Neodiprion lecontei: one gene and its partners. Each later gene encodes a partner of the first gene's protein in a complex. Links are inferred from orthologs where the notes say so. Each region holds a gene or a part of one and is shown in the gene's direction. Other genes may lie near its edges. The genes, in order: mediator of RNA polymerase II transcription subunit 1, mediator of RNA polymerase II transcription subunit 21, mediator of RNA polymerase II transcription subunit 7 and mediator of RNA polymerase II transcription subunit 9.

What was found.
Region 2: mediator of RNA polymerase II transcription subunit 1 (region 1) and mediator of RNA polymerase II transcription subunit 21 share a complex: the UniProt entries of both Drosophila melanogaster proteins name them as parts of the mediator complex. The link is inferred for Neodiprion lecontei from reciprocal best matches to the Drosophila melanogaster genes MED1 and MED21.
Region 3: mediator of RNA polymerase II transcription subunit 1 (region 1) and mediator of RNA polymerase II transcription subunit 7 share a complex: the UniProt entries of both Drosophila melanogaster proteins name them as parts of the mediator complex. The link is inferred for Neodiprion lecontei from reciprocal best matches to the Drosophila melanogaster genes MED1 and MED7.
Region 4: mediator of RNA polymerase II transcription subunit 1 (region 1) and mediator of RNA polymerase II transcription subunit 9 share a complex: the UniProt entries of both Drosophila melanogaster proteins name them as parts of the mediator complex. The link is inferred for Neodiprion lecontei from reciprocal best matches to the Drosophila melanogaster genes MED1 and MED9.

The regions. Positions count from the first base shown.
Region 1 is NC_060263.1:3,101,199-3,110,192, reverse strand, and holds the start of mediator of RNA polymerase II transcription subunit 1, read left to right. Parts: upstream 1-4,272; 5' UTR 4,273-4,426; coding exon 4,427-4,487; intron 4,488-4,923; coding exon 4,924-5,066; intron 5,067-5,153; coding exon 5,154-5,287; intron 5,288-5,409; coding exon 5,410-5,545; intron 5,546-5,657; coding exon 5,658-5,877; intron 5,878-5,942; coding exon 5,943-6,168; intron 6,169-6,301; coding exon 6,302-6,533; intron 6,534-6,664; coding exon 6,665-8,994. Other genes in the region: mediator of RNA polymerase II transcription subunit 15, read right to left, coding at 1-162, 460-940, 2,937-2,989, 3,335-3,377. UniProt on the Drosophila melanogaster protein: Component of the Mediator complex, a coactivator involved in the regulated transcription of nearly all RNA polymerase II-dependent genes.
Region 2 is NC_060262.1:34,976,891-34,984,157, forward strand, and holds mediator of RNA polymerase II transcription subunit 21, read left to right. Parts: upstream 1-4,345; 5' UTR 4,346-4,434; intron 4,435-4,537; 5' UTR 4,538-4,567; coding exon 4,568-4,609; intron 4,610-4,677; coding exon 4,678-4,789; intron 4,790-4,857; coding exon 4,858-5,243; 3' UTR 5,244-5,314; downstream 5,315-7,267. Other genes in the region: uncharacterized protein LOC107218980, read right to left, coding at 199-349, 1,248-1,429, 1,573-1,733, 1,869-2,055, 2,336-2,614; histone-lysine N-methyltransferase SETD1, read right to left, coding at 5,665-5,838, 6,010-6,267, 6,368-6,589, 6,659-7,267. UniProt on the Drosophila melanogaster protein: Component of the Mediator complex, a coactivator involved in the regulated transcription of nearly all RNA polymerase II-dependent genes.
Region 3 is NC_060265.1:6,394,974-6,403,071, reverse strand, and holds mediator of RNA polymerase II transcription subunit 7, read left to right. Parts: upstream 1-3,938; 5' UTR 3,939-4,337; intron 4,338-4,453; 5' UTR 4,454-4,498; coding exon 4,499-4,828; intron 4,829-4,923; coding exon 4,924-5,076; intron 5,077-5,167; coding exon 5,168-5,368; 3' UTR 5,369-5,927; downstream 5,928-8,098. Other genes in the region: tyrosine-protein kinase Btk29A, read right to left, coding at 2,553-2,723; leucine-rich repeat-containing protein 15, read left to right, coding at 6,571-7,593. UniProt on the Drosophila melanogaster protein: Component of the Mediator complex, a coactivator involved in the regulated transcription of nearly all RNA polymerase II-dependent genes.
Region 4 is NC_060264.1:6,103,278-6,110,601, reverse strand, and holds mediator of RNA polymerase II transcription subunit 9, read left to right. Parts: upstream 1-4,001; 5' UTR 4,002-4,195; coding exon 4,196-4,302; intron 4,303-4,677; coding exon 4,678-4,783; intron 4,784-4,868; coding exon 4,869-5,009; 3' UTR 5,010-5,156; downstream 5,157-7,324. Other genes in the region: probable E3 ubiquitin-protein ligase MGRN1, read left to right, coding at 1-14, 121-363, 496-656, 1,117-1,387, 1,458-1,655; 60S ribosomal protein L10, read right to left, coding at 2,389-2,719, 2,816-3,121, 3,642-3,664; protein YIPF3-like, read left to right, coding at 5,425-6,117. UniProt on the Drosophila melanogaster protein: Component of the Mediator complex, a coactivator involved in the regulated transcription of nearly all RNA polymerase II-dependent genes.

The DNA.
Region 1 (8,994 bases):
GCACAACGAATAGTGAGTTCGGCATGGCTGCTTGTGACTCCGGAAAGGTGAATTGTACTCCAGTCTTCATCTCATTCAATACCATGATCGCATTTTTAGGCTGTAGAGCCTTCCTCAGTCGTTGATTCATCCTAAGCCGCTTCAGCTTCTTATTTACCTTATCTTAATGAACATGTTTCAAGTGAGTATATCAAATTATGTGTAAATTCGATGAAAGTCTCAGTAAAATAACAATCAATCAGTCCTAATGTTCACACGAGTTGTTCAACTGCTACAACTCGACAACTAAAACTTTGGAGTATGCAGCTAACTGTACAACTTTCAAATTTGCGCAGTGAATTTTCATCATTAATTGTCAATTCATAACTCTTACACCAGTAACAGAAAACTGATTTATCCAGCATTTAGATATTGTATAATGTGAACTGAACGAAAAAAGAAATTCAATCTCATACTCACAGCCAGATACCCTTCCACGTTTCCATTTCGGTTGTTCCGGACTGTCGACATCCATACTCTCTTTCGTATCCTCAGTCTTAGTCTCATTATTATTAGCAGTTGGTGGCGTTGTTGGCTGAGCTACTGGCGTTGGTGCAGCAGGTACACTGCTAGCGGCAACAGGAGCACTAGTAACTGCTGGTGGAGTAGATGACGGTTGCTTGAGGATTGGCTTCAGACGCGGAGTTTGCGGAGTGGTAGGCTGCTGCTGCTGCTGCTGCTGAGGTGGTGTCTGAGTAATTGGCTGTGCCTTTGGAGGCTGAGAGCCCTGCGTTGTTCTGGCCGACTGTTGCTGCTGCTGTTGTTGCTGCTGTTGTTGTTGTTGATGTACTGGATTTGCAGCTTTAAACTGCGGCGAGTTTTGCACTGGATTATTCTTGTAAGGTCCCTGCTGATTCTGTCCCGACATTTGAGACGGTTGAAAATTCCCTTGTTGCGAATACTGTAAATCATAGGGTGGGTCTCGCCACTACACAAGGAACCTCTGCGGTTGTGCTACCCCACCAGGGCCCGACGTCGCACACGTATTCAAACGCAATCTGACGCTACCCCTATAGCTTACACCTGCCGATATTCCTTTCAACAGTGCTAGACGTTTCTCAATTCATAACTAAACCATGACCAGCTATTGGAAAACAACATCAATCTAATTCATCAAGAGATACACAAATTTTTGCACCTTCTTATGAAATAAATCATCTCTGACAATCTTTACACAATTAAAAATAACATTTGTTCTTGCCCAACTAAGAATGAAGAATTTCATAATATCAGATAAACAAGTAGTTTGTAAAATATGTGACAGTAAACTCAAATCTAGTACAATGTAAAACCATGTCCTCATTCTGTGCTTATGATTTTAGCTCTTGTCGGCAGTATCACCCAATGGAATAGAACAGATGCAAGAAAATCGTGTATCGCCAAGGTGTTCAGAACATGAGTTTAGAACGAATCATTAAGGAACTGGCTCAGGATGCATTATGCTATGAGGGCAACTGGCGAGCCTGCCCCTGGCGGGGCGCACCTCCTCGGTATTGTTGTATAGCTACTAGGGCCTGCTTTGCAGGAGAGGGGAAGATGGGAACCACTAATTAGTACATGCAAATAAAGGCGGACTTCTGCACTTTTATCATAATTGGAAACTGGAACACAGGGATAATATTAAAATACTAGCCTACTTCTTTGATCGTCAAACATCCTGAATCGACTTCGTAAGTTTTGCAGTGATGATTATTTATATTTAATTAAATCAGGGCTGGCAATAAGATAACTTTCAGAGAATTAAGAAAAAAAAAAAAACTATTTGATTTGGAACCGTGATCAATGGTGGCCAGAAAAAATTTCAGTTCAATCATGTACTAAAAAGTTTAGAACTAAAATGAAAAATTCAATTCCTAAACTTCTGTTAGAAATGATTAAAAAAGCTGAAGAATAAATAGCACAGTTTATAAATTGATTAAATTGAGGTCCAAAGATCTCATCAAACTGTTTCGAAATAGTGTCTTTTGCCACCAAGAGTGGCATTAAATTGCTAAAAATTGATGACTATGATGCAAAGAAGTAGATATAGCAAGCATTTACAATACCAAAGAGATTGAATAACAGGTATACGTATATCTATGCAATTCTTACTACCAATTTAGTTTTGGCTTTAAAATGAGATCTGTTTCTTCACTCTATGAAAATTCTACAACCTCATTATTAGCATGGGTAGGTAACAAACGCGTAGGTAATTCCATACTGAAGTTGCAGGTAGTGGAATATGATTCTAGAAAAAAATACTTTCCAAGATTTTTGCAAAAGATTTCAAATATTCCAAGTATTCAATTACAGCTTGTCCAATCAGTCTTTCAACCTGTGTTCCTGTACAAACTTAAAACAAACCAAATAAAAGAGAAGTAGATAAGGAAAAAAAACAAGCCTACACCGTGAAATTTTGAACTTTACATTGTCAAATAATAAATAATATTGCATTGAATCTACGATACTTTAAAGTGCATAATTTATCATACATCTATACTAATGTTCTCAAGGTATAATAAATATTGGTCGAAATACCTTGACATTTACGCATTTTAGATCTTTGCTAATAAATCATAATGTGATTGATGGTTTATTTTATTAGAAATTAGTTGAAGACTTGAGAAATGCACAACTCTGTGTATGTAATACTAAGTGATGATGAATACTAACAATAATAATTGAATTTTCAAGAGAAAAGATCTGCGATGTTAAAAAATTTAGAATATTGTATGTACATATATAATACAAACTTTGTCTATTCAATTGTTCAATTTGTGGTCCATGAGTTATAAAACGTACTTGTCCAAATGATACTTCACGCAATTTGATGAGCGTTTTAATCACATAAAATTTACAAATAGTGAAGTAAAAATTATTTTCATTGGTTTGGATTATCAGTATGGAAAAATGATTACCGTTGAATTCTGGTATCCTGGTCCAGAATTTATGTTTCCCGACTGTCCCCTTACTGGAATTTGAAAAGTTCCTAGCATTATTCAGGGTTACTTTTCTCTTTCGAATAATTGATTGCTTTGCAGCAAGTAATTACAAACGAATAAAAATCAATAACCACATAGGTACTGGATGGTATGTACAATAAATCAAAGGCTATTGTTGTCGGTTCTGTTTTAAGTCGTAACTATTATACAATCGGCTCTATACTCCGAGTTTGTATTTGAGTGACTAATTCGATAGAGAAGTATGAGCGTCGTCTCGAGCCCCGGCATTTACTCAAAAAGGAAAATTTAGCGTCATCCATTTTGTAGTATGCCGCTCAGATTCGGTAAAAATGAATTAACATAAATTGATTTACCATTTGGGTAATTTCCCTGACTATTTCTGCTCCTGGTGTACATTGCGGTATCAATGTTCAAAGGTTATTATTTAGTCGTAAACTATCCACAATAACTTGTCAAAAGACACAAATAACGTTACATCTAATTCCGATCACACAGATAATGGCGTTTTGTCGCAACCACAGCGTCAGTGACTGCAGTGACTATGGAGATTGTACAAGGAGCATGAACTCAAATGGGTGAATTGACCAAACTTGTCACACTAATCGTAAACGTTAGCTTCATGTTTTGTACCACTAGCGTCACTAGTGTTCCTGTAGCACCGAAATGTCATTAGTTGTAGAGATGCCCAAGATTGACTAATCGACGATCTTGCAATGTGATTCATCTACCTCGCTCACCGTTATGGTACTTATCGTATATTAATTGCTTCTTATTTTGGGAAACGATTTGTATACATGGAGTTCGTGCTCCTTGCACAGTCTCCGTGGCAGTGACTGCAAATGGTTGTAGAATGGCTATGATTGCCGATCAACGGAGAAGGGAAGTCGGGTAGTTGGATTTTGTCCAAATCATGTATAGTTAGATATCCGAAAGCACGTTCAGGAGCTCTTTCAACAATTACCGACGGTAATCTTCCAGTTTCAACAATATTTATTCGATGATAAGGTTTCGTTGATGCATGTATCTCTAAATATTGAAGTCCACGTGTCTCAAACGCAAAAAAGGATATGAATTTTACGAATTTACAGTGCCATTTATTTATTTCTCCGTCAAATGAAAACTTATTTGAGTGTTTCTCTGTTACTCGAGTTTAACACCTGTGCCATTTCTTTACACATATTTATGCACGTCGAAATCGACCAAGGGACCCCCTTAAAGATCACGCGAGGGGTCGATTGTCGCAGATGGCTATGTCGACCAATCAGCTGATTCGATAAAGATCGACGCGCGATGCGCAAAGGTGTACTGCTAAGGGGGCGCAAAGGTTAGGAAAGCGAGGTCTGCTGAGCTAAGTGGAGTGAAGCAGCAAACGAGCAAGATGCTGCCGTTGGAATGTAAAATGTGTTGACCTCGCGTGGATAGAGAAACGGTGTTTAAAGCGTATTATGGCATCCGTGTTATCCGGAAAAGGATACATGGATGCGGGGAACAATCAGAAGGGCCTTCGTAAGTATTTCCATCATATCTATGTTTTACGATCGACGGCTGATCCTATGCTGACCGAGATAGTACATGCGTGCGCTTTGGTGGGGGACACAAAATTCGTTGATTACGCTGATTGCTACGCTATTTCACGCACACGTTCAAACAATAACAAATTCGCGTGATCCTATCCACTCATTTTCAACCAACATAAAACGTGCTCGTTTAGCAAAAACCCCAGCTGACGCTGTGTTTATCTGCCAAGAGTTGTGCATAATTTTCACTGACGCGTTTATTTATCAGTTATGCGTTGCTATGAGATAGACCCTTGTTACACAACCAGTCGTATAAATTTATGCCGGCATCATTATTGTCATTGTCTATCAATTGTGCTGGTTTTATCACACGCGCCTCTTTAATTCAAATGGAAATCTTGCTGAAAATAAATTGAATTTTCCAGCAGCCCCCGGGGCTGTTGGCAGCCCGGCGGTGGACAAGGGAAAAGAATGGCAAATGGAGCTGCTGATGGAGAAGCTTCGTTCAAAGGCTGCTTCTTTTAAATCCTTTGTCGAAATTGCTAAGAATCTGCGGATGGCCATGCTGGTAGGTTTAATTGAGCTCGATATTAACTGTTTAAGAAGGAGCCTTAGTCTCTAAAGATTAATTTAAATATGTCTAACATATTTATAGGATAAACGATTCGCCCTTGACAGTGTTGAAAAAAATCAACTGCAAAAATGCCTCGATACTTTGCAACATTCCATAAAGGTCACGTCTTTGCAGTCCATGGTAGAACGACTAGAAAGTCTGACAAGGCAGTTAGGGTAAGTGGTTCTCCAAATCTTTCATATCATACCTTCAGATATGTTTAACCCGTGCGAAATGTACCCAATGTGCAGCTATTCAGACATTTTATACTCATCGTATCTTGAATGTTTTATTGCAGACTTAAATTCATGTTGGGGACTTCTGGTACACAACTGTTTATATCATCGGATATGTTTTATCTAGAAGTTCTTTTGGAATCAACTGGTGCTGTCAAAGATGTCAAAATTCATCATGAAGGGAAAAACGAGCAGCAGGTACGAATTTGTTTGAGTAATTAAAAATTTTATGACACATCTTAATGGAAAAGAGTTATCTGAACTAGATCTAACGCTAACAAGAGTAATAAAAAGAAATATAATTTGACAGAGTTGCAAAGAGTTGGTCACCTGTTTGTCCCGAGGAGATTTTGTTGACTTTACGGCTCAACTGGAAGGATTGGCCTCTATCTATCAGCTGAATGCTGAAAAAAAGGTCAAATGCAAAGCTTTCAGTGCTTTGCAGTCCCTCGAAGCAGACTTGGGTACCATAGCCCATTTGCAAACCTTTATGAAGGAACATTTCAATATTGTACACAAAAGCCCAGTTGGTTAGTATTTATTTTATTATTTACCAATTCTTATACTAGATTAAATAACCTGTTTGTTAATTCAGGAATTTTGGAGAAGAGAAAAGGAGGCCACGCGATGAAACTAATTTATTTTGTTTCACCATACGACCTAATTGACCAGGGAAATCGGAACTATGAAATCCTCAGCTCTGAAGCTATTGTCTCCCGAAAAATTGGCCATTCTGTCACAGTGTGTATGGAAGGTTCAACAGCTCATAAGCTACCGACCTCCAATATCATTACTATTAATCGAACACCGTCTGGAAAAAGGTTAGACTATTTTAGAGATATAGTTTTCATGCCAATAGCGATTACATCACTGTCTCGGCTAATACCTAGTTCAACAAATTTTCCACGTGCGTTGAATTTAACTTAACACTTGATTTTCTTCCTCATTCTGTAGCACCCCTTCATACGCTATATTAACTGGAGCAAACTCTTCAATGTTACCTGCTTGTTTCACTTTGAAATTGGCGAAAAAGATGCCACTGTGCCTGGAATTAGTTCACAGAATACAAAAAGTCACGGAACTAGAATGTGGTGATATTTCATCCCCACATCCATTATTAAGTCTGGTAGTACAACACGCAAGCGACGGTCGACTGGATTGTCATAATAACAAAGGCCTTTTTGTGGTAAGTTCCAAATTACCCGTAGTCGAATAGATTTTTTGTGAAATCGTAAAACTTTCGCGAAACTCGTCATTACTCGTGAATATTATCCATTTTACATGTTATGCCGTGTTCATCCAGTATTTTATTAACAGACATTGCCGGATCAGCAGCATTGCTACTTCATGACAGAAAACCGGAATATGGAAGGGGTGCTGGTCAGCAGCATCCCGTTTACGCATCCTGCCCACGTTCCCCAGATCCTGGTGTACCTCAGGCAGCAGGCACTTTTCAATTCGTTACTTGCAAGCTGCGTTAGACCCATGGCACGGCAAGACCCTGAACACACGGTGATGTTTGAGGTCAGTGCTTTGTCTTGGCAACATCTTTCGGTCAGCCTTGAGCACCCCTTTGAAGAAACAATGGCGACAGCAGAACTCGATCTGTCGGACATATCAAACTTGAAATGTAAATTATACGGAGTTAGCATGAGCAACAGTGAGTCTTCGTCAGAACTGGCTGGTAAAGTGTTGCAGAAATGCCTTAGCATCCCCGTAACAATGAGAACGTTGATAAAGACTTGGGAGGGTAGGAATCCTGCTAATTCTAACGCAATGAATAGCAATGGCGGTAATTATAATGTTAATCTTGGTCCTGGCAGAGACCAGAATGGACACAATGGTACAGGTATGCCAGATTTCACCAGTGGAGATGTAAAGATCAAACAGGAACCGGGATTGAACGGTAGCGGAGGTATCGGTAGGCAACAATCGTCGCAGCAGTCTTTTTTAGAAGCCGGAACGGAGAATAGTATCGGTTTTCCGTCTTTTTCCGGCCATTCCGATACAACCACTGCTATGTTGAATCCTCTGCAACTTGGGGCGCTTCTTGGTCAAGCTAAAAACTCTGCAGGTTTGATTAATCCGTTAGTAGAGCGACCTTCTAAGAAAGCGAGAAAAAGAAAAACAGCTGACGGGTTATGGAGAAGTCCGAAGAGGAAAGGTGAGGAGATGAGTGAAATCCTCTTGGAAAGTTCTAGTTCTGATTCGACACCTTTAGGCACACCTACTAGTAGAGATAATCCAAACGAGCTTAGAACTCCGACACCAACTTCGGCTGCTAGTCTTGCAAGTGGTCTTGATTTGTGTAATCTAGACCATGCTGATATTTTAGGAACTGATAAAAGCTCAGATTACGACATGGAGAATGAAAGTGAAATCGTTGAAGTTCACGACTTGCAAGATGTTGAGGAACTATTGAAGCGAGAGAGAAAGTCTAAGAAACGCGAAGACAAGAAGAGCCCTAATTTATTTGAGGACAATAAAAATTTGGTTCCACCGTCAGTTAGTATAACGCCTATTTCCAGCAGCGGAATTGCACAATCATCAAATTATAATTCTGTATTGACAGGAATGGGGCTAGAAAGGCGACCCGGCATTGAGATTATACCTATAGCTTCGTCTCCGCAAACTAGCCTTCCTAGCTCGATCACCATCACACCAATTGCCGGTCCGGCTTCAAAAAACTTGACAGATGAGCGTAGGGACAGGAAGAGTTCAAAAAATAAGACAGAGGATAAAAATAAACTAGAGAAGAAGAGAAAACGGAAGAGAGAAGACAGTCCTATGGGACCTCCGGACAAGCTACCGTTGAAGCCAGATCCTCTGTCAAAACCTGTTTCGGTGAGTATTAAACCTACCGAATCTCCTCCAAATCTGACAACAAGACCTTCGTCACCTGCAGCTACGCTCAGAAAATTTAGTCCGTCTCCTACGCATACTAGTCCGTTAGCTCTTGTTGGAAAGTCGAGCCCTACCCTAAAGCAACCTGTTAACAAACCAATACAAAGTCCCAAACATTCACCTGTTTACAATAGCCCTAAACATACGACGATACCGGCGAGTGTCAGCCCAAAACATGGTACTTCATCGCCAAAACACGGGAGCTCAGCCAGTGCCGGAAAACCCAGCATGTCAGCTTTAAAATCTGCAGCTAATTCACCATCAAGCAAGAATAGCGACGGTATGCCAAAAGCAAAGTCTTCTAATAAAGATTCGAATAGAGATAAAGAGAGGAAAACATCCTCTCTGACTTTTAGCGGGTCCGGACACCAGAGTCCAAAATTGAAATCATCTAGCGCAAAGTTAAAACAATTGGATTTAAATCCAAACGCTGAGACTCCTCCGTCTCTGCCGAGCAGTGGAGGCAGCACGCCTCCGTCAGGTGGTTCGGATATTGGAAAATCAGCTACTGCTCAACAACAAGCAAGGAATAGAAAAGGCTCACTTAGTGCTGTTATTGACAAACTTAAGAATGCCCAACATTGTACAGAAGATGGTAACGGCGGGTCTAAGGGTAGTCAAAAGGACCGAGTTAGTTCTAATAAAGTTGGTGAGGGTAAAAGCGGTAGCAAGACACCTGTGGATACTAAAAATCCAGCTGAATACATGGTAAAACATAGTTCTGAAATGAAAATCACGATCAA
Region 2 (7,267 bases), on another chromosome or scaffold:
ATTATCAACACATCGATTGTCATGATGTAACATTCGACATATGTACGGACCCTCAGATTGATCGTAACACATTCAAGGCCGCCGACAGTATCTTTTCCCCATGTCAAACACATAGCAGCAGACTACAACAGTGATCTTGAATGTATCAGAATCAATCTAAGGGTCTGTACAATGTACGTCGGAGTAGTCGTACGTTACCATGCTCACGTGGCAGATCTGCGACGCCGGTGATGTGGTCACACTAAAATCACTCGCTTTTTTAAACTTTTCTTCATCAATTTCCCACAACTTGAGATTCATTTCGATACAAGTTGTTGGTATGATCAAGTTAAAGGGTAATATTCGACTCCTGAAAATAACATTATTAGAGTGGCTTTTCCAAATTCATAGATTCTTCAGTGCAATCAGAAACAAGAATCGAAAATGAAGGGTGTATTGTGTAAAACTAGAAGTATGCCAGAAATAATTTTTAATCACAAGAAGAATTCCTGTTTCAAATTTGTGTCAATGAATACTTAAGATGAATACTAAACGTAACATAGATCGATGCAATAGGTACACCGAATAGGTGTAGTATTCGTCCCATATTGAGAAGTTAATATCACTTGCCGCTGATTATGTTAGACTTTGTAAAATTACAATGCCGAAAGTTTTTTCAAGTCAGTACGTAATTTTCGCAGTGAATTTATCCACAAGAAATAACAGTCAATAATTCAACCAACTAGGCACATTAAGAGGAGAGGACACCCATCTTTTCAAATACGCACGCCTTAGTGTTATGGGAGCGATAAATCGATTTTTTTGCAAAGAATACGATTGTGATAAAATGAGAATTATAAAAAAAAATATTAATCGCTTTGGAATTTTTTTTTCTGCCAAATTTGAGTATTGTAAAATCCATCTGCAGAAGTTTAAAGAACACAGATTTACATTTGGTAAAAAATACAAGACTCAGAAAAACAATTTTTACCATTTTTGAAGCATGTTTTTCGAAAAAAGAAAATCCTTTTCAGCTTGAATAGTACTCTAAAGATCTATTTTCATAAGATTTGACGATACTCCAATTTGGTTGCGGAAAAAAAAATTCGAAAAGGGTTAAATTTTTTTTTTTTGTTTCAATCATTTTCTCTTTATCTCCAACGAATTCCACGCAAAAAACAGCACAAGAAATAAATTTACCGTCCCTCTAACACTAAGACGTCATGTACCTGAAAAGTTAGGTGTTGAACAGATAAATTGAAGCTCACGTTTCAATAACCGCATTTGAAACATTTTCAAACTGGCATCTCACGGTTGGATCACGGACAGGATACGTGGTATTGTAAAAATATGGACCCCACAACCAACTTTTTTCTTCTCTATTTGTCATGACAAAATAATAACAGCCAGTAAATATATCGATAAATGTACCATTAGCAGGCACACCTTTCTGAAATAGAAAGATATGTTGAAAGAAAAACAAAATACAAACCAAAGAACCTAAGATCTTGTACTAATGACTTGTTGTCTACAATGAGCGTTTAAATTAATATCGACTGTTACATATACAGCTACTCAACCTAAATTACCCACTTTTATAGACAATGATGAGTCCTTTTTGTTAGGCATATTTTGCAACAGATTAAAATCTTTTCTAGGATCACAAGGACATTCCTTTTTATTCTTCACATGTGGTTTCGCTAGTAGAGTAAGTTTGAAATTTTCTCGTGGCTTTGATACCTTCCAATCAATTCCTTAAGACAAATATAAAAATAACAAATTTTATCACTATATGAGATGAAACATGTCAATAGTGAATCATTAATCAAGATATAATTCGTATATTCGCCAATACGAGTGGCAATTATCTACTAAAAAAAATGTCTTACCAGTAAAATCAGGAAAATCTTGGAATAGTGTGGACCGTTGGTGTTGAAGCCAACTAGGTGGCTGAGATGTCTTGGATTCATAGTCACACTGATTATTTAGGCTCGGCTTTGCCAAACTGAATTGATTGTCAATTTTAAGATTCACACACTTACGATGTGGTGGACTGAAGTTCCACTCTCGCCAAGTCTAAAACAAGTAATCACGTCTGTACAGAAATATTTATAAATTTGGTCGTTACAGCTGTTGGCAAAAACGAATTACGGAAAAATATTTCACATCCCTGACAACCTATTAGATGCAGTATGAAATTGATTTGACCATAATTTATATACCCGATATCATGATAAATTACTGAAAAGTAGAAATACTAGAGAACTATACTGCATCTGAAAATTGTCATCTTGTGACACAACTATTGGATATAAACTTAGTAAATAGAATTTATAAATTAAAATGTAAATAATACGTTATTTTGTCCGGTTTCGTTGCCGCATTCTACATCGACGCACAAACGAAGAATTATCCAAAAAATCCAAATAAAAATAGTCAAATTTCTCTCACTCATGTTTCCTTCACGTCGGAACAGCAACTGAACCTTCAGAACTGTATCGTACTGAATATTTATCATTTTTCCGCCAACGACTACGAGGAAATTCATGGTGTACAATGAAACCTGGTTTGTCCGACCTTCGATCAACCAAGTTTCACAATATGAGGCAACGGACTTATTCGAACACTGTAACATCGAGGTGTGTGATCGAATACAGTACGCATATGCCGTACGTGCGAAGTATTTTGCGATTGCTACTTTGTTGCTTATATGTAGCAACAATGCTTTGTTCCCCAGAGATTGATCTACGTTCCTTAGAGTTTCACTTTCATGTACCTTTGTGTTTAAATTTCATTCTACCATATCAAATTCGTAAAAAATCATTCAAATCTTCACATTTTTCATTTCTTCCGTGTTATGCCAGTTTTCGCTTATCCGAGATACCTCCTCCCCACGTTACCTCGGATAAACGAGGTTTTTCTCTACGGTGAAATTTCAGGACTAGAAATATTGTCCGTTATTGAGGAGTGTCCGATATTCAGAACAATATTAACGTGTAAATCATGCTTCTGGAAATTTTTAGATATTTTTACGACATTTCGGTACGTTGTAAAACGAGTTGGGTTTAGGCGCGCGGAATATATCTAATTTTGGAACGGACGTTATGAAATAAAAAAATAGGATATACGTATATCGAATTGCTTCACCGGTATCAGCTCCAGATTATGGAGATTTTTTTATCCAGATAAGGTCGGCGTTTTTTGGATTTCAACCTTCTTAAATCTTCTTTATACACAAACAAAAAAAGAAAAACAAGAAGTAGAATGAGATCATTGGTTTTGAGAATCGAACACCAGATATCATTTTTCATACATCCGTTCCGAAATGTCGTACGTGTGTTAGCACGCATATGATCGACATGTGTACGTGCTGAAGTCAACGTCAAGTCAATGGACCACGGCGGTGAGGCAGGGAAGCCGATAATATTTCGAGAGCCAGACATAAACATTGAGATTAAACGGGTGACGAATCGAATGCGGTGGGTCTAGAGAGCGGGTGTCAAAGGGACATTACGCAACGACGCCTCGGAGAGTTCACACCGATTGAATACCGTGCATATCGAGCATTACTATACTTACGCGGTTGCAAAGCTTCAATATACTTGTATTCACACATTTAACGTAGAATTTTAAGAAGTATTCCATTGAATATTACAATGTACATTTAATACGATTGACATTGTAATGTATTCGAAAGATAGCTTCGTTATCCTATATATATTATTTCCTACAGTGCAAAGTGTGTCAAAGACGATGGGGAATTTTTTGTTTTACATGTTCACGCAAAACTTCGACGATAAATCAAAAGAACTGGTATTTGGGCTTGTGGTCTCATTTTCATTTTTGAAAGACGCTAATCAATATCTCGATATACAGGAAACTCGATTATAGGTTATAAAGTAAGAATTTCAATTAATAAACTGTAAACAAGTTGTAAATTGAACATTTGATCGTACCCATGATCGCGCCATATGAGGCATGCCGATAATAGAAGATTCGTATTCAACGCGTACACGTGATCCGTCACTGCTTTATTAGCATTCCTATTGGTCAAGAAGTCGGCAGCAAAATGCTGTGATTGCTTCGTGGTATTTTCCTGCTCGTGAAAACCTAGTCTAGATCAACGCCAACGAGAAGTGAATACGAAAATGTAGTAAGCAGTGTACATGCGTTTTACTGTTTTAATTATGTTTCATAAGGCTCTCTCTGCCAAACTCTAACAATAAACCAAATCTGACACCCGTTGAAAACGCGTTCTCACTGGGCACTGGCGGGAAGGCGAAAAACGAAACTGTCAGGATCATGGTGGCAGTGTGGTGCTGCGTCGGTAAGTATGTGACTTATAATATCGATATATGCGTCGTACAGATTGTCGTGAGAATGGTGATAGTGACAGCAGCGCAACACGAGCTGATATAGTCAAAAGTCAAGAGTAACGAGATATGATGTGATAATGTACGTAAATTTACTTCAAAAAACAAAATATGCATCTGCTACATCTGGTTGATTATTAAACTTGTGTACTTCCTCTCTGGCAATACCATTGCGTTTGGAAAAGTCCGTTGTTGATATTAGGTGCATCGCAAAAATGGCGGATCGTCTAACCCAATTGCAAGACACCATAAATCAAGTAAGCTTGCCGTAAAATCAATTAGCCGGCAAACTCATCACGATAATTCGATATTATTATCCTTACAGCAAGCTGAACACTTCTGCAACAGTGTTGGGATCTTGCAACAATATTCTATGCCTACTAAATTTCCGGGATTTGATAGAATTGGAACGCCACAACCTCATCAGACACAGGAAGGTGAGTTTCAGTAATCATTGTTTGTGATCATTCAGTTCACAAAGCATATTTTGGTTTGACTTTTTTAGAATATGCGACTCTATTTGCTACGCTGATCGCCCGATGCGCCAAAGATATTGATACATTGATAGAAAGCCTTCCGAGTGAAGATTCTTCTCAGGAACTTCAAGTAGCTAGTCTGAGCAGACTTGAACAAGAAAATCAAGATGCTGCGGAACAGCTAGAAGAAACTGTCAGACAGGGTGAAGCTTTGCTTCAAAGAATTCAAGCAGCCCTCCAAGACATTGCGCAGAGTCAGCTGGACATGCAAAATCCTGCTGCTCCCACAATTATCAATACAAATTTAAATCCTCATATTAATTTTAAACAGGAAAACTTTGGTACTATCAATACAATTCCTTCAAGTAATTCACATCAACCACCAGATCCATCGCCGAACTCTATGAGCCAGTGATATGAATTTTGTCCGATTTACATTTAAGAAACTTTAGCCATTATCAAATAAACATTTTTCTAAATGCCTAAGCAGAGCTTATTCATTCTAGACATATCTTTTAAGAGAGAAATCTCTCAAGAGAAGCAGTATCATTAAACAGATCGCTAACTAAAAAAATCTTGGTGACTAATGTCACAAGATTGGAAAAGAAAAATATAGATACATGTTCATAAAGTTCTGTAAATTCATTCAGGTAAAAATGGTTAGATAATTTACTAGAGTTTCATGATCAAAATGTTCGGCAACAAGAAATAAATTTCGAATAAAACATACCATTTTCCATTGGCTTTTTATAAAATGTTTACATGGGACTTTATTTACAAAAATATGAGAAGGGTGTGGTTGATTGAAGGGGGATGAACAGTAAGGTGACAAGAAATTAATTGAGCGTACCCCGACATTGGGGTGCGCCACACAGACACGGAATTTTATCATCCTCCAACGGAAACTTATAATCATAAGTAATTTCTTCGTTCACACCAATTGGTTGCTTGCTGTAGATCACAATCTTCTTCTGGCTTTCAATTGTTATTACTTTAGCATAACAATTCGGCTGTAACAAATCATTTACCATTATATTGCTTTGCAATAATTTAGAACTGAAGATAGTAGAAAAGCAAATTGAATTCCAAAGTCTTAAAGACTTAATCATCCATAAAGTGTCAACTATTCAAGCGAATACACTTAAAAATTAGGTATAGTTCAAGTAACAAATTGAACTCACGTTGCAGCTGTGATTAATGAATCTTGCCAAGTTACCACATTTCGTCGCATCGATAATAGTGTCAAGATCAATACGAAACAGATAAGAGCTACCAATGCCTGTAGCCTCGTACTGAGTTTCACGTAGATCTGCGACCACTGGTCTCACCATCTGTCCAACATATTCTATCACCATTTCATCAGCAGCGATTGGTTCCATTGCGAAAAGACCCCAATCGTGAATACCGGATTTGGCGAATTTCAGTTGCTTCTTTCGGAACTAAGTAATAAGAAAGCCATTCAAAACTGAGTCACAATGTTCCACATAAAATACATGATAATCTGATTGACAGATGTAATGATACTCCAATCAATATTACCTTGAGCTGATTGAACTTCAGTAAATCACTGTCAGTGTCAATGCCAAAAGCTGTTAATAACCGCCGCTGATTACTTCTCGCCTCCCGTGATAAGGCCTGCATTTTTCCAGTTAATGCCTTAGCCTTTGTTTTTGGGCCATTCATTGTGCCGTCACCACCCAAATATGGTCCAGTACTATCCTCTATGTCATTACTGCGCTGTATGCTTTGAGCATAGTGATGCTAAAAATGAGAAAATAAAACAAAGATAACATAACTTTCTCTGCAAGAAATATAGTAACACAAACTTACTTTGTGTTTGGCTTTTTCGCGTATATCAACTTTGTAGTAGCCTTCTGTCCGAGCGCTTCCTGTAGAATGTAATCGTAACTCGTCTCGTTTTTTCCTTTTAGCAGGACTTGGAATATCCGTTGCAGGATGGTCAACCCAATGGGTGTCATTCAGCCAGTATCCTTGGTTGTCATCTGCCAGCAAAGCTTCGTAGCTTCTCCTCAAATATTCAACATCTTCTGCATCTATTCCTTTTGTTAGAAATTCATAAAGCACTCCCATTTCGCTCATTAGATCCCGTTCCTTGTACGTTTTAAGTGGTTCCTCGAACTTTCGTGGTAACGGTTCATACGCGAACTCATTTTCGATGTTTTCTTTCTCTTTTTCATGGTTTTGGTGTGTATGGAGTTTGGAATATTTGGGATATTTCTTTTTAGCAGTCTTATCAGACTTCTCTTTCAGTTTCTCCAATTTTGGTGGCTTCGTAAGTTTCGGTTTAACAGGTACAGGTAGACTGGAAACTCGGGAATCGGATATGGAAGGTTGTGGTGGTGCTGGCGGAAGTGAATACGAGTGCTCCATGTAAACTTGAGATGCCTGAGAGCCAGGAGAACTTGGACTGTGCTGACC
Region 3 (8,098 bases), on another chromosome or scaffold:
TTTTCGACTCGTCCATTATTATTGTATCGTCCATTCACCGATTCTAGAAATATTATCGGAAAACCAGACGTTGCGTATAACCGTATTTCCGTAGAATATTCTCTAGTTTTCGAATTGAGGTATGACAATAATAACGATGGCGAGAGAAATAGCGGTGAAAATAACGAGGAAGAGAAACAACAGCGGTCTGTGGAATAAAATAATGATAGTTAATTGACTTCGCACAGCTTACCTCCAGCGTTATTAATTGAAACCCGAAGGGCGAAAATACGGTTGCAGACAGGATCGTTCGCCGCAGCCGAAGAAGAAGTCTAGGAAATATTTTTTCCGATAACACCGCGAAACGTATGTATATAATAACTATCGAAAAGACGGAAGACGAGGAAGAGGATTGATGAGTCAAACTTGAAGAATATGTACCTTCACCGCACGTGAATGCAAAAACAAAGATTTTCGACTTTCGGAGAATTATTTTTTAATTTCTTCTTGGTTTTTTTTTTTTTTTTTTTTTTTATGAAATTAGAGGGGAAAAGAAGGAAACGAATATAAAAATTCTTTTCTTGAGCTAATTATCCAGAAGCACACCGCGACCTGATCAAACAACAGTTTAGTTTTATCCGCACGGATGCAAACGCTACGTAGACTCAAGGAGATGTTGCAGAATGATTTCTTTTTTTTTTATGTCAATTCCAGGATTAACTATTGAAATATTTTTCCGTCTTCTTTCTCGCACATGCGTTAATTCACGAGGACGATAGAGATGAAAGAAAAAAAAATGAATCAACAAATGAGAAATTAAAGGAAAACCGCGAAACGCGGCTCGTCACGACGCACGTTTCCGAAGACGATACACGGAAAACCGGCCCGCGCTGTGTTTCAAATTTTGTTCCGATTACGCAACGCAGGGTTCAATATGCGGCGAGAGAAGAGGTTTCGCATCGAATTGTAGCTGACAACCGACTGATTCTCCGCTAGGAAATAACCGCCTTACCAAGGGGCATCGGGAGATCGGCGCCGACGTATTCGACGACCCTCTGCGGGAGGCGCCTGCGCCCCTTTTGCACCCCTAATTATTATTAGGTACACGTGATATCGCGACCGCCTTGCACTTTTACGCGGCACGCTTCGATATATACAGCTGTATAGCTAATACGAATTACAGATGCGTAAATATTGTCACGAGTTTGGCGGGGGATAAGAAAACAGAAAGATCAAAACACGGAAGGGCCACAATATAGAATTTCAAACTAGGAGAAAATTTAATTTACACGATTTAAAAATGTACAAAGTCCCTGTATGGAGATGTGAAAAAATGTAGAGAATATAGAATGCCAAAATGTATAATCGTACACAGACATTAGATTTAGCTGTTCTATGTTTTGACATTTCTATATTTTCTCTTTCTGTACGTCCACTTTCTACATTTTCATAATTCTCGTACGAATCGGATATTCCCATCTTTGAAAATTCTGTATCCTTTCTATCGTCGATGCATCCTGTATACAGTTCAACAAGAGAATAGCATCCCTTAAGACAATGAATTATCGCATCACATCTTCAGTCAACGTTATTAAAAAACGCAACAGTCGATTTTAAGGCTTTAACACGAGATCGCGTACTTCTCTAAAATACTTGCACATTACTAAAAAATCTTTATTCTCAATTCGATGATCTTAGGAGGGTAAATAAAAATGTCGATTATACGATTGATTAGGATTTCGCATTCGGTGATTCGGATGAAGGATTTCCGACACGAGTGGAACTCGTGCCTTGGTCAATGAATGTCAGTCGATGTCTGACATTTTCTCTCTTTTTCCGTTCGTAATCTTCGCTAATGAACCGCACATTTCCTGTTTGCATAAAGATTACAGTAGCAAGCTGTTATACTCATCGTTGCCTGCGTAAGAATATGCTTTTATCGCTTATGCGTGTAATTTCAAAATTTCTATACCATGGAATTTGACGGTAATTTTACTTCAAAATGTTCGATCAACTTCAAATTATTATTTATCGATTTTTCTCGTTACTGTACACCGTTATTATTATTATTGTCTTTGTTAATTCCTTGCGAATAATTTACACGATTTACACTTTTTTTTACAAGGTCCTATGTATGTACGAATGAAATTCGTCTCTACCATTAGTAAACTTGTTGTGAAAAAAAAGAGTGGTTTGTAATAACCAAAAAAAAAAATAACAACAGCAACAAAGTTGGATATGAATAATCTGACGCTTATATGTCGGCGAATTTTCATTTTTGATCCGGGTCGCAGATTACTTTTGCAATCTCTGGATATCCGCAATTCCAGAATACGTTTATACTCATTTGAAAAGTTTCCAAAAAAAACAATCATTTCTTAGATATAACAAGCACCTGCGAATGGAAACCTGGTCAAATTCGATCACAGAATGAAGATCAGAAATAATAATATTTTGTTCAACAGCTGAGCAATTGCCATGTAAATACGCGTCGTGTAATGAAATTTCAGGCGTGACCTGTCGACTCGAAATCTATCAAAGAAATGTGTCAACAAGTGATTCGTCTCGCTTACCTCGCTGTCGCTGTCATAGTATATAAGGTATTGCCTGGTGAGGACGAACCATCGCTGCTTGTAGTTGATCGGCGTAAATCGTTTCTTGTTTTGAGAGCGCTTTGTCATAAATCCTGTCTTAACAACACCATCCACGCCTTTAGCCTCCGCCTTCCCATCCTTCCCCGTCATCCCTGAAAAGAAAACCCTGTAAAATGCAAAACATCAAATTAATGAAATGTATTTTTGAGAAAGTGGACGATATTTTGTAATCGTTATATTACTTCTTTTTCTTTCAAGCTTATTCTGGGCGTTATAAAGAAAATTTAAATAGTATTGCGACATTTATCACAGTCCAGCGATAGCTACAGTGTGTTTCAAATATTACTAGACATATCTGTTGATCTGAAAGTAAGAAAAGTTGGAGCTTCTTGTCGAGAAAGGGAGAAACAAAGAGAAAATCCGATTCGCAGAGTACAAGTTTCGGTAGTTCGGTTCACAGCGTAAGAAAGAAGAAGAGAAAATATGAAGACAAAGAAGATAGCGAGAAGTTGAATAGAAGAGAATAGAATGGCGGATGAGAGCTGATTGAAAGAAGAATGTGTGTTTGACGGATGGTGGATTCAACAAATTTGAACAGCTGATGACAGGGAAGTAGGGAAAAGATGAACAGAGACCAACTGTTGGCACGCCATCAGATAAAAGAGAGGAGTAAAACTGATATCGAATATGTGTGTAAATTGTGAACAGGAAACCGTTTCGAGATGGTCGATGCATGGCTCATTTTTCGTTGTTTACAAACACTGCATTCCATCAATTGCTCAGGTACAACAATCGAGGCGATTATTTTACAATGCAGTCGGTTTACGAACGATAATAGGAATAGAGTAAAAGTATAAAAGCGTCGAGAACATCGCGTAGCTAAACCGGGTACGGTACTGATAACGAAACCGAAGCTCAGTTCGAAAATAGGCGATAGGGAAAGGCGCACGGAATTTGCGGTTATAAAATACTGACGTTTTGGGTGCCGAGTTCCTCGGAATCGCCTCGGCCGACGTCGAAATAGCCGGGAAACCGTGTAACAATAAAATAAAGACTATCGGTAGTCAACACAGTACTCTTACCATTCACAGCACCGGTTTGTCACACAGCCAGACGATGCATCGGTCTCGAGAACGTGGCTGCCCGCCGGATTCGGTTAGGGGTATAATGCGAAAAAAAAAATTCACGTGGATGCAAAGGAACACAGAGAGAGGCTTAGCGGCGGGCGGTACGGAGAGGGGGGAGGTAACCTGTCAAACGGTCGCGGGCGAAGCGACGGCTAGGCAAGACGGTCGGAAATTCACGAGATAACAGGAAATGCGCTACGGCGTTAGTCATGAGACACATCGATGTTCAACTGTTTTGTATTGGTCACTTATCCACTTGTCTGAATATTTTACACTTCGACATTCGGGCAGCGCGATTTAATCCCGAGTTGTTTCAACCGCGACACCGAGAGGCAAGCGACGCTTTTCCGACGGTCGAATAACGTCGCTGTGTAGGTAACTGGATGAACTTTGAAAAAGCGTAAACATTTAACATTCCCAGGCATCTTCCATGTTCGGCGCTACGCAGGCATGTAAACAAAACAAAATGGCGAACACTAACCGCCGCGCTGCTTTTGTTTTTTCCTCTGCTGTGACGACTCGCGTTGTTAGACGCTGAAAACACAGTGACTGCCTCGTCGACGAGCCTTCCACTGCTTTACTCGTATTTCATGGCGTGAGTAGATCCACCTCGCCTATCTTCACCCTCCGATTGATGGTGTTAAACCGAGGCTGATATCGTGGTTATAACCTAGCCTAACATGACCCATCTTTTTTTCATCTGACGTTTAAATTCCTCTGACTCGTTTCAGTTCCTTCTCTTTTCTTTTACAGGAATAAAATCTTACGACTACGCCGTTGATATTATTTTATTAAACCATGGCGACTCCGGAAGCGACGCAGGTCAGCTCGCTGCCCATGCCGCCTACTCAGTACATCAACTTGTACACCGATGAGAACGTGCGTAGAGGAAGAGCTCCCCGTCCTCCCCCGGCTAATCATGAGAACTATTCCATGTTCGGGAACATGTTCAACGCCGACGACACCATCATAAGGCCGCTGGAAGCGCAGGGGATCAAGAGGCTTTATCCCCAGCATTTTGACCGGCGTCGTGAGCTCAAGAAACTCAATCACTCTCTTCTGGTCAATTTTTTAGACCTTATAGATCTGCTGGTACAGTGTCCCGACAGTCCGAGGAGAGCGGAGAAGGTGTGTCCTTGATTTTCTTCATACTTGAGACATTTAACACCAGGAGTTATTGACGGTAATAAAGAATCTCATGGTTTTTCCTGACGTATTTTCAGGTCGAGGACTTGAGCCTTTTGTTCATCCATATTCACCACTTGCTTAATGAGTTTAGGCCGCATCAGGCTAGAGAAACTCTTCGTGTTATGATGGAGCTCCAGCGTAGACAGCGGACAGAAACCACTCTGCGATTTCAAAAACATTTAGACAAAGTATGCTATACGTGTCATTGGTTTATCTTTCATCACATTTGGTTTCTTCTAATATCACTGACTAAAATTTCTTTCAATTCTTTCTCTCTAGGTGCAGGAAATATTGCAGCATGCATTGCAGATGCTGCCTGACACCTCGGAGCTAGATTCAAGCCTTGCTGTCAGTACAGATACGATGGAAGTTATGGATACTTTGGGACTAGAGCAACAAGCTACAGATCCGTGTTGTCCAAGGGACCGAATGATGTGCAATATTATCGACGAAATGACCACATCGAATAATCTTTACTGATTCTGGATCAGCAAAAATTCATCCCAACAATAAAATAAAAACTGTTTTATTTATTGAAAACAGCGTCAGAAACACTGTTTAACAGCAATTAAAAAGAGTTTTCAGTACCTCTAATTCTTGAATTTTTAGTTTTCGTCACGTAAAATTACGAAAGTAAAAATAAACATGCTGGCTTGAATTGCATCTTGCTACCTTGGTTGAATGAAATAATTTTTATACTTCAACGCTGTTGAAAAACTGGTTTATAGTGAGCTTAGATATAAGGAACAATTATTAGTGAATTTGTCTAGACGCGTGTGAGTTTCTACAATGATTATTACTGCATATCGTTTTATACATAATATAATTAATATTTTAAATATTATTTATTACTGTGCTGGACAGCGATTAAAATTAAAATACTCTGAATACGGGCGCATGGCTCTGCGATTTACTGTACTTATCATTTGTATATTTGACTGACTTGGAAATAGTCCAGTAATCATTATTAAGAAATGAAGGATTAAAATGGAACTACGTATTCTCCAAAGAAGTGAATAAAAATGAATTTCAGTACGAAGTTGTGAAAAAATATCTCCTAGAAATACTATTATTAGGGATGTCATAACAATAAGATGAATTATTGATCATTAATCAAGGTAGATTTCATCTGAATGATGACATAGATTCACAGCGCTAAACGTAACATGGAAACCTGTAGCTGAGTGTAGAAAAACGGGACAGTTCAAAACAATTTTGAGCCGAACAGCCCCACGTTCTTGAACGGTTTCATAATGCTATGTAATGAATCAGTTGATATAAATTAGTAGATAACGATACTCAAAGAAATACTTGATCGAGACATGGGGACAAAGTATTTCGAAACATTTATTATGTAACGATTTGTAAAAAAAAAGTGTTAAAAACCTTTCTGCATCTCATAAATACCTGGAACTGTTTTTTAAAAGTAAGGAACATTCATGTATAATCATTTCTCGAAATTCCTAACGCGTCACAATTCTTTGAAATATATCTATTGCACGTTTGATTTATCTTATATTTCCAGTACATTTTACGTTAAAAATACACTTCTCCTGGTAATAAACTCCACAACAACTGAGTTCACACTGTCTGATAACAGTAGCAAAGTTCAAACGATAACTTAAAGATGAGCCAATATAAATTGTCTGCTGTTATGCAAATGAACAGTACAGAGTTTAGTCATGTTACGTTACGCGTTGCTGGTCCACGTTCTTGTGGCTCTCGTAACAGCTGAAACAGAGCAGACATGCACGAGTCACGATGGCTTTACTGTGTGTCATTTTCGAGGTGTTTTAAGTAGTGTTACACAGCAGAGGAACGAAGACAGATTGGAAATCAGTGATTTAAATTTGCTGTCAATCAAGCCCGGCGCCTTCAAAGACCTGACGATAACAAATTTATATTTGTATCAAGGAAACCACATCTCAATTCTACAGTCCGGAGCATTTACCGGCCTACCAAAATTGACCCGCCTCCATTTGGATAACAATGTTGTCACCCTGATTCCTAATCTATTTCAAGAACTATCTCAGCTAGAGTCATTGTCCTTGATTTATAACAAGATCAACAATATACCGGCAGGGACGTTTACCGGACTATCGAAAGTAATGTGGCTCTATCTCAACCAAAACGATATTCCGGAGATAAAGCCAAACATGTTTACTGGACTCCCACAGCTGTTGTATTTGTGGCTAGATAATAACAAAATAGCTACCGTTGCTTCAGGGTCTTTTGCAAATCTCAAGGAATTAAACCGTCTTCATTTGGACTACAACAAAATAACAGAAATAAAACCCAACACTTTCACCGGTTTAACGAAGCTTGAAACTTTATATGTTAACGATAACAGCCTAACGTCACTTCCGCAAGAGACATTTGGAAGATTGCCGGAGTTGAAGAGATTGTATGCAAATCACAACAAAATTGCAACCATCCATTCCCGTGCTTTTAAAGGCCTGAGTGATTTGAAGATCTTACATCTTGAGCACAACGAAATTTCTGAGATTCAGCCCGCTGCATTTGAGGGCCTCGTCTTGGTTGAAGAAATATTTTTGTCCAATAACAGAATTCACACTCTCCCAAATAATGTATTCGCTGGACTAACTCAGATCAATTTAATTTACATGGCAAATAACACTTTGACTCAAATTGATAAAACTAGTGTTCAGCTGCCAAGTTCCAGTACAGTTTATTACACTGAATAAGATACTAGCGGATACCTTGAAGATAAATTGCAAACTTGCTACAAATACGGACATGACAGAAGTTAACTTAAGACTCGAGCAGCAGCAGCGACAAATTTGTATTTCCAGAGCAACTACATTATTTCTGATATCAACTACAAGATAGAATAGACAAGATTTCAGTGATTATTTAATAGAGAAGATTCGTCAATGTTACGATAACAAAAATTTCTACCAATAGTAGCTGTCCAGGTGGTCTATTTAGTAGCAAAATATTGCACGCTTCGCCACGTGTCGTAGCTCAAAGAAACTACTTTTTTAAGAACGTAATACACACCCTACTAAATAATCTGCCAGCAAGATTGATACCTAGCTGATAAAAGTTTAACTAAAATTAATAGAAACTGCACTTGATGTCTAGATTTTAGTTTTGTTATAAGTGGTGATGCTGACAATTAGCCCTTGAAGATTGTTTGCTATACGGTTTTGTAGCTTAATTTATTGCCTTAGTTAAATGAAATAATTA
Region 4 (7,324 bases), on another chromosome or scaffold:
GCGAAAATGCTAAGGTATCGCAGAAACAGTCAAGATGATATTTCAATTACACAAAACAGGAACCATAAAGTTGCATGTTGAAAAATTCACTTTTTTCAATTAATTTATTTCTCTTTGTAGCAACAAGGAAGCGATGAAGATACTGAAGATAGTGGATCTGAATGCGTTATATGCATGTGTGACGTACGTGATACATTGATTCTACCTTGTAGGCACTTGTGCCTGTGTAATGGGTGTGCGGACTCATTACGGTATCAGGCAAATAATTGTCCTATATGTCGAGCACCTTTCAGGGCTTTGTTGCAAATTAAAGCTTTGCAGAAAGCGACTGGGGCAATACTGTCCAATCCGCCACTGGCTGAGGTATTGATTATTAGTATTCATTCTGTTTTATAACTCAAGCTGTCATTAGTCTGTATGATGGAAGCCAGTTCTGACTAATTCACTTCTCTTCGTAAACCAGCAAATAAATTCGATTCTTAAACTACTTTCCAGGGTAGTTGTGAAAATATACCACCTGGCTATGAGGCAGTATCGCTCATAGAAGCTTTGAATGGCCCTTATACACCAAGAGCAACGGTCCTACCAATTGAGTCCCTGGATACTCCTGACACAGACACAGCCAGTGCTATTCAAGCTGCTGAAATTTTAAATCGGTATGTCAGTAAAATGATGAAGATTTTAATATACTATTTTCTAGCCATTATTGAAATTCAAATAACCGTCCTTTACTGCTTTCACCCTCACATGCCTCTAACAAAACTCCACGCATCTCTAAAATCATGAACATTCCATGTCTAACACATTTAACCCTTTAACTGCATCTTAAAATAATGTTCATTACAACAATAATGCACGTGTACAAAAAGAAAATATTTTCTTAAAACTAACCCTAATATTAGGTTACTTGATAAGAAAACGATAATCTAATGGTAATTTATCACTTTTTCTTGGTGACTGACGCGTAAAACTTATCAAACTTGTATGAGAACGAAGAATAGGATGGGGTTCCAAGCTCAAACTTGTATATCCATGAATCAAAGGTGTAATCTTAAAGGGTTAAATTGTATAGATTGTAGATCATAGTAGGATGGTAGAAACAAGAACTTTTTTTAGATCAGCTGAGCGTACGCCAGTTTCGAAACATGCATCTCCAAAAGATACGGAGAAGTCACCAAGAACTAGTGGTATGCCTTGTGCAACACCCGAGTTCCGAATGTCTGTTCTACTTGCAAGGGATGAAATTTCTGGTTCTCAAAAAGATCTTCGCAGTCGTTCTCCAGTTGCACGAGCCAAAGTAATTAGTCGTCCACGTGACAAAACGGCCCTTCGTACAAGAGACACATTAAGACTCGTTAATGAGAAGCAATCAACTGCTATCGATGAGGTAAAGTAGTTGTTTTGCTGCTAACAAACTGAGAGATTCATTTCTCAAATAATTTCGTCAACGTTTTCAGGGACAAGATGATGATAGTGAAGCAGAGAAACTATCTCCTTTATTGGACGCAGTTACAAGTACAGAAGCATTGGATACCAGTCTTCATCCGATGCATAACATAGAGCCTATAGATGATTTGGATATCGATGACGAATTGCAAGTAGAAAACGGAAGTGTGAAGAACGTGGATCGTACTAATGAGAAAAATTTACACTAAGTTTAAAACTTGTTACCACAAACTCGTTAAACAGTCGAACAATAATGATACCTACATCTTTCGTTGGCAAAAAAGTTTCAAAGTGCAATTTATCTGTCAGATGTATTCTTTTAACTTTCAAAGTTAAATGCAGGTAGCCTAGGGCAGCTTGAACAGTTGTGTTATAAAATTGGGCCATACATTCCCTTAATATTGTATTTTTCAAATTTTAATTAGGTAATTAGGTACTTTCTAATCATTTTACTAACAAAGTATTTTAGTGAACTATATTTCCAATTTTTGGATATTTTTTGTTAAATATATTCCTGTACATAATTTACAATTGACAACTTTATGGACGCGTAATCTCACTCAACTTTTATTTTCTATGACGTTACTGATTTGTAATGAGTTACGTAGGATATGGCGTTCTAATCATTTGTAAAATAAATTCTTAAAATCACAGCACCATCCTTTTCACATTATACCTATTTTATTATGAACTCCGAACAGATGATCATCTGCTACATCTGTAGAATACTCATACCTGTAACAATGGATCTATTATAAAAGCGAACTTTGTAATATTCACCATGGAAATGGTAAATTGGCAAAAAAAGATCTGGAATTGATACTGAACTTATAGCATGCATCTTCCTGCAACATAACGAGGTATAATAGTAAAAGACGCACAATTTTAATTAGTCGGAATAAAATTTATTGAGACCACATTTACAGAAGTGTTTGGCTCAGATTAGGCACTGGCCAGGCTTTCTCTGAACTTCTTCCACGCGTCTAGGGGTCCGTGCTCTGGAAGATATTTGACATTGCAACCATCTTGGGCAAGACGACCAGCTACCTTCAGATCTTCGTATTCGGCACGTTCGTACTTGGTAAATCCCCACTTCTTAGAAACGTAGATCTTTTGACGACCAGGGAACTTGAACTTGGCACGCCGTAGAGCCTCGATAACTACCGCCTTGTGACGGTCCGATGAGCGCACACTCATGATCGGCTGCCCGATTCGGACACGAGCAACAGTACCTTGAGGCTTACCAAAGGCTCCTCTCATCCCAGTTTGGAGCCTAGATAGTTGAACAAATTTGTAGCATTAATTTTCCATCTAAGTAGATAATATTCCGTTGTTGGATAAATGAGTTACTATTGTTCACGTAATTTACCTATCAGCTCCAGCGCATGACAACATTTTGTTGATGCGAATGACGTGGAAAGGGTGGAGTCGCATCCTAATGTGGAACTGATCTTTGCCAGCATTTTTGACCATGTATTTGTTGCAGCAAATACGACCTGCTTCTAGAGCTTCTGAGCTAAGCTGTTCATATTCGTCAGAAACCAAATGAACGCAGAGTGGAAAGTCTTCGACACATGCCTTCTTCTTTCCCAAGTCAAAGATACGAATCTTTGGGTCAGGGACACCCCGACAGAAACGAGACTTAGGATATGGTTTGTTCTTGCAGTAGCGATAACTGTAATTAAACAAAAATTCTCATCAGTATTTGATTTATAACATATTTACACAGCACTTAGATTCCCAAACCTTTATCTCAAAGCGTATTGCAACAATGACATCTGATTGTATAAATTATAAATTAAATGATACATATTGCGAAACAGGTTAGACACCAGTGTTAACGAGGTTACGTTACCATCATGTCGAACTTTCAGTTCCACAAAATTCTCTACAGTTGACTAATGGTCTGGAACTGCAATTCTAATTAGCAAAATTTTCGCGACAATTACAGAGAACTTCAAAATAAGTGAGTAAATGAAGCGGCAGTAATGGGTTAAATACAGAACAGTGCACTTCGAAGCTTGGCATACACCTGCGTTGACACAAAAAAGGGAATTTTGTTAGAGCCTCGGATTAATTCGTAGCTCGAGTCAATTAAAGCAATCGTTGGTCAGGAATAAAGGTACCACAATTATTTCTCTTTTCGATTATTTCTTTTTTTCCTAAATTAGAAAATGCGAGTCATGACGACTTACCACCTCGCTGGCCGGCGTCCCATTTTGGACTGAAAATATAAACACCACAATTATTTATCGAAAAAACTATCACTCTTAACAATTGGTAAATTAACCTAATTTCGTTCAGTAAGACTAATTAATTGCCGTTGTGTAGGATTCCTCGGATTATCAGAGATATAAAACAGCATTCGCGATACATACCTACTACCCTTGATAGCCCAAATGAAAGTGACGGAAATCAATTTTCTGGTCAAATGTCCAGGAGCTACTTCCGGCATTCGCGGTGCAACACCATAGACTATACTAACGATTACGTCCATTCTATGTCTAACTTTACAAGCTAGATGTTAAGCTCCTTGCCATCGCTCCATCTACAAAACTTGATTTTTCCGGCTTCTGTTTCTGACAGTACCGTAAAATTTTGTCAAACCTTCGTGGTGTGCTAAATGCTTTGAACGACCAGTTCGCGTGATAAAGAACGTGTGTAGATAAATTCATTTAAACTGTCTACGAAAGAAGAAAAAATTAGTGTCGAAAAAGCAGAAGATGCCGAAAAAAATTGCGGTGAAAATATGATGGAAGTTGTTGAGATAGCAGAGGAAGCGCCTGCTCGAAGTCAGTTCACAGTCGACGATCTAGACATAGAAATTCTACCGCTTGTTTACGAAATAATCCGAAGGTATGTGGGTTTAATTTATTTTCTTGTTAACACTAGCAATACCCTTTGAAATTGACATGCCAAAAATAGTACTCCATTTTTTCAAGTTATTATAGATAGAAAGTTGCGAAAGCACTCCCCATTGTCTGCCACGTTTGTCAAATTATTTATAGCTCATATGATTGCGTATCAAAATTATTAACACAAGGTACATGATTGCTCAATTTCTCAAATTGATATTCTAATTTTATTCACTTGCTCTGCGAACATTAGATCGTGACGTTGGAGTTTTACAGGATTACGTATGAACAAGAATTTACCTTATTAAATGTACAGCTAATTTGTCTCATCAAACTAGTTATGTAATGCAACAAAATTTTGATTTGTTCCACATAGCGTGGAAAAAGATCCTCATGACAACACCCAAAAAGCTAAGGACTCTCAGGATACGAGTCACAAAATACTAGATTTACAAAAAAAATTGGACTCTGCACGATCACAGGTGTGTATACTCGACGATAATCATGCTTAGCATGACTAAATATTCGTTCTCTGTAATTTAATAAACTGAAACCCATTGCTTTTAGATAAAAAAATTGCCTGGGATAGAATATAGCAAAGAGGAGCAATTACAGAAGCTAGAAACACTTCGCAGGCAGCTCAAGTTGAAGCGAGAACTACTACTCAAGTATCGTAATATGTGTACATTCGACGTACCCAAAGTATAAATAATTAGACTTTCATACTATAATTCATTATGGTTCTGCGTTTTCTTATGCGATACTTGGCCAACAACGAACAGCTCATCAACAAATTAGCAGATTCAAAACCTATAAGACGAGCTGCTCAGCTGGTTGTTTATTTTATGCAACGTTCTTCCCAGCACGGTATACCATCCAGTCCACAGGAGCTTGGCAAGCAATGGGCAAGTTTATTATCGCGTTTCTCATCTAATCTCAAAGAAGGAATTGCAGACGCTAAGAAGGATCAGGAAAAGAAACAATCTAAATAACATATATTCTAACGTAACCAAATTACTCTCCTGCGATTAGTTATCCATCTCAAAGACTTCGATGAATCAGTTTTTTTTTTTTCTGAATTGTGAATTAGATTTAATAGCTTAATATTTCCCATTGGTTTACCATGGCGTACAAAGGATCAGCCGTTATATTGGTGCCTACAGATTCCAAACAATATTGCGTTAAAGTTGATGGCCATGTTTCGTTTGTCAATCGTTATATGAAAGTTACACCCTACGATATTGGAAGACGGATTATAGCTTCCCTCGGACCTCCTTGTAACAAGAAATTTAGAATTGAAAATATAGATCTAGTAGGACCCCTCCTAGCAGTCTTAATTTTAATTGCAATTCTAAATTACGGATATAGGATTAAAGAGCCGTCGGCTACAGATTTAACTATGGCTCCTGTAACTTCAGTACTGCTATATATTGTTGTGAATCCCTGTCTAGGTTTTGTGCTATGTAAATTGGCACGCGCAAGTATGGTATTCTGGGATTTAGTTGGGTTGTTGGGCTATGCCTTGTATTCTCATCTCATAACATTAATTCTGAGCCTTATGATATATCAAGAAGAAAGTAACGCCTTCTTTTTCCTATGTTTACTTTCATTTGGAGGACTGAGTGCTCTTAGAGTATGTATCCTTCTTATAACTAGTATACCCAAACCTGCTGCTCGACTTTTAGTTTGTTCTACATTATTCATAAATCACTTGTTATTCTTAATTTTCTTGCACTTTACCTATATGCATCCAACGTTTATATACGGCAGAGGCAGCGACAAACGTGTACCCACAAAAATACATACAAATTTGTAAGTCAAATTTTTAGAGAAACCTACAAAATAATAAGCATACTTGTGAATTCTTCAATATCATTTGGCATCAATCGGCTTACCAAGTAAATTAACTTTTTATATTGCGTTGATAGTATCTACAGCCAATTGTGAGCAGACTTTGTAGTTTGTGGAAAATGTTTCAAATTTAATTGTTTTTAGACTAGATTACAACATTTATAATCCGTTTGGATTATCCAATGTAATTTTACTCATATAAAAGTGAATTTGCATCATATTTGTATATTTTTATCAAACTTTACTAAAGCCTCTTGCAGAAATTAACCAGCTGTGAAAAAAAATTCTTCTTTTAAATCCAGCAAGGATTATTCTGCCACAAAATATAGGAAATATAAGTCACCAGTGAACTACGATGTAAAAAGAGAAGTTATTTCCAATTTCAGATTGTATTATATGGCATTTATTTGATATTACAACAAGAAAAACACCAGAATTACGAGTATTAAGATCAGTCCAGTTTTACTGAACATGAAAATCAACTTCTTTGAAAATTATCTTGTTAGTTCGATAAAGTATCGAAATTATAAGTTGCATAATACAGTACGTACGTTTACAGTATTCTTAGAGTTTTATCCGTTGTAACAAATTGGGCAGATGAAACCTAATGTAGCACACGTGATTATTGTTAATACTTTATATGAATATTGAATACTTTCACAAAGAATCAACATTAGAAATCCAACCCATAGATCAATCTTATCTTCTAAAATTTCTACTATCTATATAGTAATATTAATATTAACATCATAATCAGTCAAAGAAAATCATCTGTCTAACAAGCATTCTCGACCACCTATTCAATCATTTGAAAAATAGTACAATGAATTACAAAGTATTAAACTCATAGCCCTTACATGTGTAATATACATATAGAAACACAGTTTCATCTTTAAATTATACAGTCAGGACAAGCGCAAAAGAAGTAACTTACAGTGAACAGAAAAAAGTAATTGAAGCCTGCATTGATACCAAAAACAGCTGTTTTCACCCCATATCTAATGATGCTATAGCAGTAAAGGAGATGTGAAATCAATACATATTATTCACGGATATACTTTCGACGTAATTCAGCCAATGTCTGGAAATGTCAAAAAATATATATACAGATTTTACTCTCACCTCAACTGTTTGCGTAACATGTCTGGAAAACACAAACATACTTTCCTGAA